Linked DNA regions of Oryzias latipes. The protein of the gene in region 2 interacts with the protein of the main gene of each other region in a pairwise test. Links are inferred from orthologs where the notes say so. Each region holds a gene or a part of one and is shown on either strand. Other genes may lie near its edges.

Region 1 (4,395 bases), on a different chromosome or scaffold from region 2:
GAGAAGCTTTACAGCCTTAAATACCAGAATTATTGTACATATAAAGCTTCATTACTTTGCAGATTTCCTATCAAGGGTTATTTTTAGAATGTAATTCCCAAGATAAATAAGGAATCTTTGTTTTTAAAGTTTATGCCATCTCATCCATCTGGCATGTCCAAAGTCTGGCTCAATGACATGCAGGCTTCTGTCATAAAATATGGGGTTTAGCACCCAAGTGACAGACATGCAACCGAAAAGATCTGGTAGTTTTTCAAAATAAAAATATTTTTCAAAATAAAAGCTAGTTTAGCCTCCACTCAATCAACCCCTCCTGCTTTCACCGCCCGGGTGGTAGCCTCCTGCTTTCCCTCCTAGAAGCCTCCTACTCTGAAAACTTTGGAGGCCCCTGTTTAACAGCAGAGAAGTTATTAGTGATGTCCAGATCTGATCACGTGAGCAGAAATCAGGCCGACTGAGTCGTTTCGCATTGGACTGGAAAAAATAACCCCGATCAGGACATCCCTCTAAATTTACTGAATAATGTTGGATTTTACGTTTAGAAACTAAACGAACTTTAAGCGCTTCTGTCCCCCGAAGTAAATAAATCTATACAGTAAAAGTGTTTTTATGTAGATTAAAAAATTGGACAGATGTTCATTTCACTGAAATAAGTTCCGGAAAAGTACCGTAAATTCCGGACTACAAAGCGCACCCAATTACAAGCCGCACCCACCCATTTTCACGTGTTTAACTACTTTTCTACATACACAAGCCGCGTCGGAGTACAAGCCGCATGTATTAGGCAACATTGTCATCCTGACAAATCACGTCCTGCCTCCCAGAGTAAGTGTGATGGTGGATTTTTTCACGCTGCTTCTAACGATTGCTTTTAACTTGAAAGCTTCATCATATTGCAGTGGCGATCACGTGCACGTTGGGTCTAATGGCACCAAAGGATTCTGGGATGCGGCTGGGCATGCGTGTTTCGTTTGTGGAACCATGACTGAAGTGTCTAAGACCTGAAGTTAGGTCCATGCTGTTTGGCTGCCTAGACGTGTATTGAAAAACAAATGACTTGCCCTTGGTGTTAGATAGAGAATTCTAACCATTCACTGTGTCCGAAAGTACGTACATGGCGGCCGCCAAATAAAACCATAAATTAGCCTCGTCACTGAATAAGCCGCACGGCTGTAAGCGCAGGAAAAAAGTAGCGGCTTATAGTTCGGAAATTACGGTAATTGTTTTAAATATGGTCGATGTTATTCGCAGGCGTTTACGTGCAACCAGCACAAAAACTGATGGAAAAACATGTGGATCACACGAAAACCATGTGGCCCAAATACACATTGCTGCACGTATTTGAACCCTAACCTTACCTGTAACCATAAGCCCTGCCCTAATTACGGTGAAATAGTCACTTCCTTTAAATCTAATTGTCGATTTAAGTAAAAAATGTGATACAAAAGTTAAGGATATTATGAAAATCTTGTAAATGATTTGCAAAGTCATTGTAACTATGATGGAGACGTCAGTGTCTGAATCCCGCAAAACAACAAAATGATGTTTGTTTTTGTTTTGTTTATAAAGAAAACAACAGCCGAACTCACTGCATTCTGCTGAATTAAATGCTAAGTCATCGTACAAACCCGCTCAGATTTAAGTGACTTCTTTCCCCATTTCGTCTCCCTTTTCTACCAGCTGACACCGGCGAGCGTGGCGGTACGCCTGTTACCTGGCGGGCTGCTGTGGTTCTGTGGCTTCGGCACTTTGCTCCTGTTTGGCCTCCTCAGGAGGAATAGGGACAGCTGCAGGGGTGGGTGCAGCAGGAGGATTTGAAGGCGGGGCAGCGGTTGATGTGGAGCCAGAGTCCTGTGCGGGGGGCTTGGGGGCTTCCGGGGCTGGTGCCGAGGTCGTGGCTGCAGGCTTAGCCTAACGTGTTCAGAAAACAAATGAAAACGTCAGAGGAACTGCATCCAGACGCGAGTCCGCTGCACACATAAAAAAAGATAAAAAGCTGGACCATGCAGTCTCACCTTGGATACCATCACTACAACAAAATTCTTCTCATCGATTTTGTAGTCTTTGATTGGCGTATCGTCTTGCAAGATTTTCCCGGCGTATATCAGCTTCTGCCCAGAAACAGGAAAGTTGTCTTTTCCTCGTTCAGCCTCTATCTTCTCCTTCAAGGCCTTGACCTGACACACAAGAGGGCAGACATGATGGTCGGACTACCCGGAGGCAGCCTATCCTCAACACCTGAAAGCCACACCCCAGCCGCCTCCATGCGAAAAAGGCCAAATCTGGAGCACCAGCGTGTATTTTACTTTTGTTAGACATCTAAACAGTAGAAGTTAACCCAATCCATCTAGGCTTCCAGAGCTGGGCTATCTATCAGGAGCTAGGCGTGATTGGCAGTGTCATGATGAGCATTTAGAGCACGCGCATCATCCTTCGTCACCACCAGCGCACTGACTGAGCGTCTCTGATTCACACATGTTGGTGGTTTTACCTCATATATTCACAGCCAAAAAGGCCGCAACAATCCTCTGTCAGCAACTTCAACTAGTGACAACCAGCTTTCAGGTGGCGGCCCAATGACTCTGTTAATTTTAGCAACATTAGCTTGAAACCTAGCTTAGCGAGGTAGCTTCAGCGCGTAAAGGAACAGGTGTGTTCTTAATTTTAAGCATTTTTTGTGTGGCTTAAATGTTCACACAATTCAGAAATTAATTCGATGTGATAAAAGTTAGTTCCTTTCACTGTACCTGCTCTATGGAGCTGTCGGGTGTGCACGCGGAGCTAAAAGACAACTCCGGTGCTGGAAGCTAACGCAGTTAGCTGTTAGCCACTTACCGTTTGTTCGGGGTCTATTTCAATCTGAATCGTCTGCTGCTGCAGCGTTTTCAGAGTGATCTGCATGGCGGCGTCCGGTGTGCTTCAAACTGGAAAAAGAGCGGCGCACTAAAGGAAAAAAAAGTCAGTCTGTGTCTCAGGTTCGCGTTTTGAGTAAGATAACAACTAGCCGAGAAATGTGTGTATCCATGAGCACTCAGCAAATCGCCATCTTTGGTGACAAGTTACGGGCACTCCTGCTTGGAGGCTGTGAGATATCGCGAGAAACCACGAGAGGGCCAGCAGCACAAAAGCTTTAGAAAACAAGCAAGACAAACACACGCGCACAGAAATCACAAGACTTATAACTTTTTAACTATATAGAAATACATTCTGATCATGTTAAGTGCCTGTGAGACTCAAAGTCCCACTTTGATCATCTTTTGATCTATTTTCAAAGCGTTCCTGGTGGTCTTTTAGTGACGATTATGCTGTTTTTAGACAAAAAAATTCAAAAACCTGTGTTGATTTCGTGGACGTAGTTCCTGCAAAGCAGCAGCAGTTCATTAAAAATTCACCTCTAAGTTTGTAGGAAACACTTCTGGTGCGGAGCTACCCAGGCCCCCCTTCCCATCACCCTTCTGTTTACATGCTCTCCTGCTAGCTTACAGCCCCACACAACCTAACATTATCAGTGCAACAAATATTGGTGCTGACCGGCTTTGAGCCAGACGCCAGCTCGGACGAGTAAAACAAAGATGTAGCCTACATGGATCTGGTCTACAGGCGGATGCATCAAAATGCAGCAAAGCAGTGAGTTTGTGGCCCCGCCCAGTGTATTTTCTAGGTCACAAGTATCCGTGTCACAGCTACAAGCTTTCTAAGATGGCATTTTTTTTGTCTGTTCCAGATTCACAAAACTTTTATACACATCATGTTCTGACCCATCCCCTGGGGGAGCGGTGACACAGCTGTGCTCGGGATCCCCCCCAATTTGAAGCTGAATTTTCTTTATATGTGTTCTCCATTGTCCGAAAAATGCCACAAGAACAATTTAAAAACCCCACTTTCATTGGGGTGGGTCTTTGAGTCTGAAGCGACGTTTACAACGCCAAATCACTACCAAATCCGAGTCCCTGATTGGTCAAAGTTTGACCTGGTTAACCTTTCATCACACACAGTCAATGGTCGCAAGTTTTGAACACAAAAACCTATAGCTATGCGTGATGCGAGACGCCCAAAACACGCATTTACTTAAACTTTGCATTAGAAGGAGCCACATAACCATAAACTTCATCGTGCTGTAAACTTCTTTTATTCATCATTGGGTATAATATTAACTCACTCTTTGTTTATTTCCTCCTGATTCAGGCACAGTGGATATCTGCATTCACACCTGGAGGGCCTTTTTTCTGCACAGCAGACTTTAATGCCACTATCACACGACCAACACAAACTGGTTCAAACGAAAGGACTTTGGTGTCAACGTGTGTCAATGAAAACCTAGGAGAAAGGGATTCTTTGGGTATCTGCTGCATAAAAGAGTTTAGGAAGTGATTTTAAAAGACAGAATTGAGCACT
Region 2 (4,303 bases):
ACTCCAGAAAAACCAGCAGCTCTGGCCCAGCACCCACAGTGGAAAACGTCTGAAAACTGCGGTGGTAGAGCTCTGGCTTCAAACTACAACTTTACGTGAACACTGAGAAAACATAGAAGCTCTTTCTCCAGCAGGGTTACCTGAAAGCTCCATCTCCATCTGCAGAAGGGGCTGTTATGTGACTGGCATCCCCTGAGAGCCCGTAGCCCAGGATCTCTGCATAGATCCTTGCTCCTCTCTTCACAGCGTGCTCCAGCTCCTCCAGCAGGAGCACCGCTGCTCCCTCCCCCATCACAAAGCCCTCTCTTTCTGGGTGGAAGGGCCTTGAGGCCAGTGTTGGTCTGTCGTTCCACTTGGTGGCAAGTGCTCGGGCTCTAGCAAAGCCTGCTATGGAGAGAGGCCCGACACAGGATTCCGTCCCCCCCGTAACCATAGCAACTGCATCTCCATGAGCAATGAATCTGGCTGCATCACCAACGGCATGAGCTCCTGTGGTGCACGCTGTGGATACAGCATGGTTGGGTCCCTTCAGTTTGTGCTTGATGCTGATGTGCCCAGCTGCCATGTTAACAAGGATGCGGGGAACAAAGAAGGGGCTCACTTTCTTGTAGCCCCTCTCCTGGAAGGCAGCAGAGGTGCTGGCAATATCGTCCAGTGACACCATACCCATGCCAACTGCAACCCCCGTGCTGAGCTGCTCCTCCAGGCTTTCAGGGAACCAGGCTGCGTCCTCCAGAGCCAGCTGTGCTGCTCCCAGGGCCATCACAGTAGCTGCAGACATGTTGCTGATTTCCCCCCGAGAGACGAACCGGTCCCCCTTAAACTGGCCCTCATCAGCGCCTCTAGGCACCAGAGCTGCCACCCTGCAGGGGAGGCCCCGGTAGTCCTCAGACTCCAGAGCCACAATCCCGCTCCGACCTTGGATCAGACACTCCCAGGGCAGATTGCAGCCGGTGCCTAGAGGGCAAACCAGCCCAAGGCCCGTAACCACAACCCTCCGCCTGTGCGACTGTCCGCTCCCGCTGCTGAGCCTAACTCCCTTTGGACAAATGTGGGCATTTCGAAGGAAAGCCCTGCCCGGCTGAACTATCGCCCGGACTGTAGTCCAGATGGACATCGTCTTCCCCTGATGGAGCTCTAACTTTCGTTACACAGTATGAACTTAAGCTCTGGACAGCCCAAGTAACTGTCCATGCAGGGTTTGTTTTGAGTAATCTTTGGATCTGCCCTAGAAAATGCCAGCTTTTTGTGCCTGAACCTTCTCTTAGATTTAGCCTAAAACAAACTAAAATAGCAACCACACAACAAATATTGTTTATTGGGAGTTAAAAATAATAATGCAACAGCTGCAGATTGTGCGCGCGCATTTTTCCCCTTTAACATTAGACTCCGGCGTAATAAAGCCACCTAAATGTAGGACCCCAAACACAGAGTTAGCTAAGTAGCTGTCAGCGTTAGCTCCCCAATCCGTTGATATATCCGCTTTTCTGGAGGGACGGGCGTTACAGCTGGCTTGGTTTTGTCGGAAACATGAGTCTATCTCCGGCGGTTACAACTCTGTGCGAGAACTCCACGGATGTTTTCCTGGACGCCGCCAAACTGCTGCTCACCTACGCCGATAACATTCTGAGGTGAAGCTGGATGGATGATCATCATGGAGATTCGTTAGATTTCTGAAATTTCTGATGATCGTGACTGTTTTATCTTTAACTTACTGTCATTTATAACCTTAATTAAACCTGCACAGATGTAAAAGAAGCCATACAGAATAGCGGCATTTAGAGTCACTCATGCGCCCTAATATATCAAATTTGCAAAAATGCTATTTATTTTCCTGGCTGCACCAGAGTCTCACTCTTCCTCTATCCTTCTGAGTGGATTCCGACACTATCTCTCCTATTTGATCGCCTTTCCTTCATTTGTGTTATTTACAGCCTTTTCAGTGGTTGCTTTCATAGTTTTAGCAATTTAGGTCACACAATTCAAAGTCCTTCAAATTTTAGCCTCAGTGATTTACCGTGTTCCCCAAGGCTCTGATCTGGGTCCATTCCTCCTCATTTCCCCTCTCTCCTTAAAAACATGTTTCCAAAATTGAGCTTCATTTGACTTTTTTTTAAAATGTATTTTCTTTGGGAGAAGACACCCAGCTCTATCTCTAACAAATCTATGTGCATTGTTTCACCTGCCTTTTTTTCCTGATGTTGTTTTACCTCACATCGCTCTAATTCAAAACCTCTTTGTTTGTGTAAAGTCTACACTTTTCAATGAAAACATCTTCTCCATCACTATTACGTCGTCTTTGGGTGCCCTTTCTTCACAGGATAAGAGTTTTGGTTTCATGCAGGATTACATCATTCCAGTTCCATATTGATAAAATTGCTCAAAATTTATCAGTACAGTTCCACCTTTGTAATAATTGTCGTTGCCCCTCTCACAAGCCACATCCTACCTCCATCCCTGTCTGCAAACTCATCACTTCCTGTCCTCTTTACTTCCTCCTCATTGGTCTACTACCTAAATTCTGTCTATAATAAAACTTCATCTCATCTAATCACTGTCATTCTGAAAGAATTGAAACGATTTCTTATGAAATCATTTCAAAATCTTCCTTTCAAAGGAATATAAAAACCCCTCCCCTCATTGTCTGTTTCCTCCTCTCTGTTGGTCCCTCTTGTTCCTTCCTCAGATCCTCCTCTTGACTTCACTTCGCTGCACCGTTTGCACCACAGGACGTAAAACCTTCGGCTGTGAAACTCATGTCCTACTGATGTCTAAACACTGAACTTCATTTAAAAAAAAAATCAAAATTCTGAACTTTTCTGTCAATAAAAAAAACAAAACTATTTGGCGACACTTTTTTGTCTGTGTGCTCCCAAACCTCTCTCTCCTCTTTTACACTTTTTTTTCATAATCTTTTTTCGTGTACTCGGTTATCATACGGTTTTGAAAGCCACTCCAAACTAATTTGTGTTGTAATTCTTATTAATTCACTTCATGAGCTTTATCAGATGTGTGCAGTGATCCAAAAATTGGTCTGATTTAAGTGAAACTACAGATATACCTACATTTTGGGGCTGTTGCAAAAAGTTCCACCCTTTGAATTCAGATCAGACTGAAATGCTTTCCCCTCAGAAAACTGACATCAGTTTGTTTTTATGGGATGTTTCTATCCACCCCCATAGGTACCCCAACGTGGAGAAGTACAGATCCATCCGGATAGGTAATCCCACTTTCTCCACTAAGCTGCTGCCCATCAAAGGAGCTGTGGAATGTCTCTTTGAGATGGGCTTTGAGGAGGTAATGCTGTTAAATTTAGGTTAGGATGATAAGATAGCTGGGTTTCACTGGTGTCAAGACTCTGGTTGCTTGATAGGACTCGACTGCAAGTAAATGTCTTTTTTTTTTTTTTAAGGCTGAGACACACCTGGTCTTTCCCAAGGCAGCATCGGTGGAGCAGCTGAGGCTCGTGAGAGAGTCCATAGCAGCGGAGCGTGATCAGAGGCTAAAGGGGGAGTGTCCTGTTCCGCCTGCTGCACAGCGTGTTGCCTCAGCACAGCAGAGTCCAACTGCAGCCGCTGCTCCTGCGGCTGCTCCCACTGCGGCTCCTACTCCCCCTGCAGGTGCCCCTAGCCAGCTGGCAGAGTTCTCTGCTCAGCAGCCGTCGTCTCTGGTAAACAGAGCCTTTGTTTTAACTTTAAAATTATACATGAGTCATTTAAAGATATGTATCTGCTTTGCCTAATGGAGGTGACTGCTCATGTTCCAACCTTTTAGAATCAGAATCAGCTTTATTGGCCAAGTACAGTGCACGTACAAGGAATTTGGCTTTGGTGTCTTGTGCTCTCGTGCAAACTACAAAAATATTTAAAACGAGTTTAATGAAGTAAGACAGGAAAGGATAAATCATAAAAAGAAAGTACTATGAGGTAGATATAGGAAGATTTAAACATAACTAAATAAAAAATGCAACTGTGTTCTGGTGTGACACTTTCTGTGGTTTTGTTCAGTGTTCTAGAGTGGTCTGGAGTGGTTTTGGTGCCCTGAGTCCTAAAGCGCCGCCCTGACGGGAAAAGGCCGTCAAAGCTGCATGAGAGGCGTTGTCCCTTAACAGCAGAGGACTAGTTTACATCAGTACCAGGGAAAAGTTTCCTGAAACTTTTGTTAACTACTTAAATGTGCCAAAATCAGCAGAAAAAAACAGTTTTAGGAGCCTATCACGGGCTTCAAGGTGCTAGACAGGCCTAAACTGTCCCCTTTTGGATCCATAAGGTCTGACAGAGCAGTAGGCAGAACGCAGATGCTT

Evidence for each region.
Region 1: the proteins of ngly1 (region 2) and rad23a interact in binary tests that used the Homo sapiens proteins (3 or more experiments, as listed by UniProt). The two-hybrid records come from large-scale screens. The link is inferred for Oryzias latipes from reciprocal best matches to the Homo sapiens genes NGLY1 and RAD23A.

The regions. Positions count from the first base shown.
Region 1 is NC_019866.2:22,942,234-22,946,628, forward strand, and holds the start of rad23a (UV excision repair protein RAD23 homolog A), read right to left. Parts: upstream 3,087-4,395; 5' UTR 2,902-3,086; coding exon 2,836-2,901; intron 2,178-2,835; coding exon 2,016-2,177; intron 1,912-2,015; coding exon 1,715-1,911; intron 1-1,714. UniProt on the Homo sapiens protein: Multiubiquitin chain receptor involved in modulation of proteasomal degradation. Binds to 'Lys-48'-linked polyubiquitin chains in a length-dependent manner and with a lower affinity to 'Lys-63'-linked polyubiquitin chains.
Region 2 is NC_019869.2:19,045,551-19,049,853, reverse strand, and holds the start of ngly1 (peptide-N(4)-(N-acetyl-beta-glucosaminyl)asparagine amidase), read left to right. Parts: upstream 1-1,420; 5' UTR 1,421-1,530; coding exon 1,531-1,631; intron 1,632-3,182; coding exon 3,183-3,297; intron 3,298-3,412; coding exon 3,413-3,670; intron 3,671-4,303. Other genes in the region: oxsm (3-oxoacyl-[acyl-carrier-protein] synthase, mitochondrial), read right to left, coding at 141-1,117. UniProt on the Homo sapiens protein: Specifically deglycosylates the denatured form of N-linked glycoproteins in the cytoplasm and assists their proteasome-mediated degradation. Cleaves the beta-aspartyl-glucosamine (GlcNAc) of the glycan and the amide side chain of Asn, converting Asn to Asp.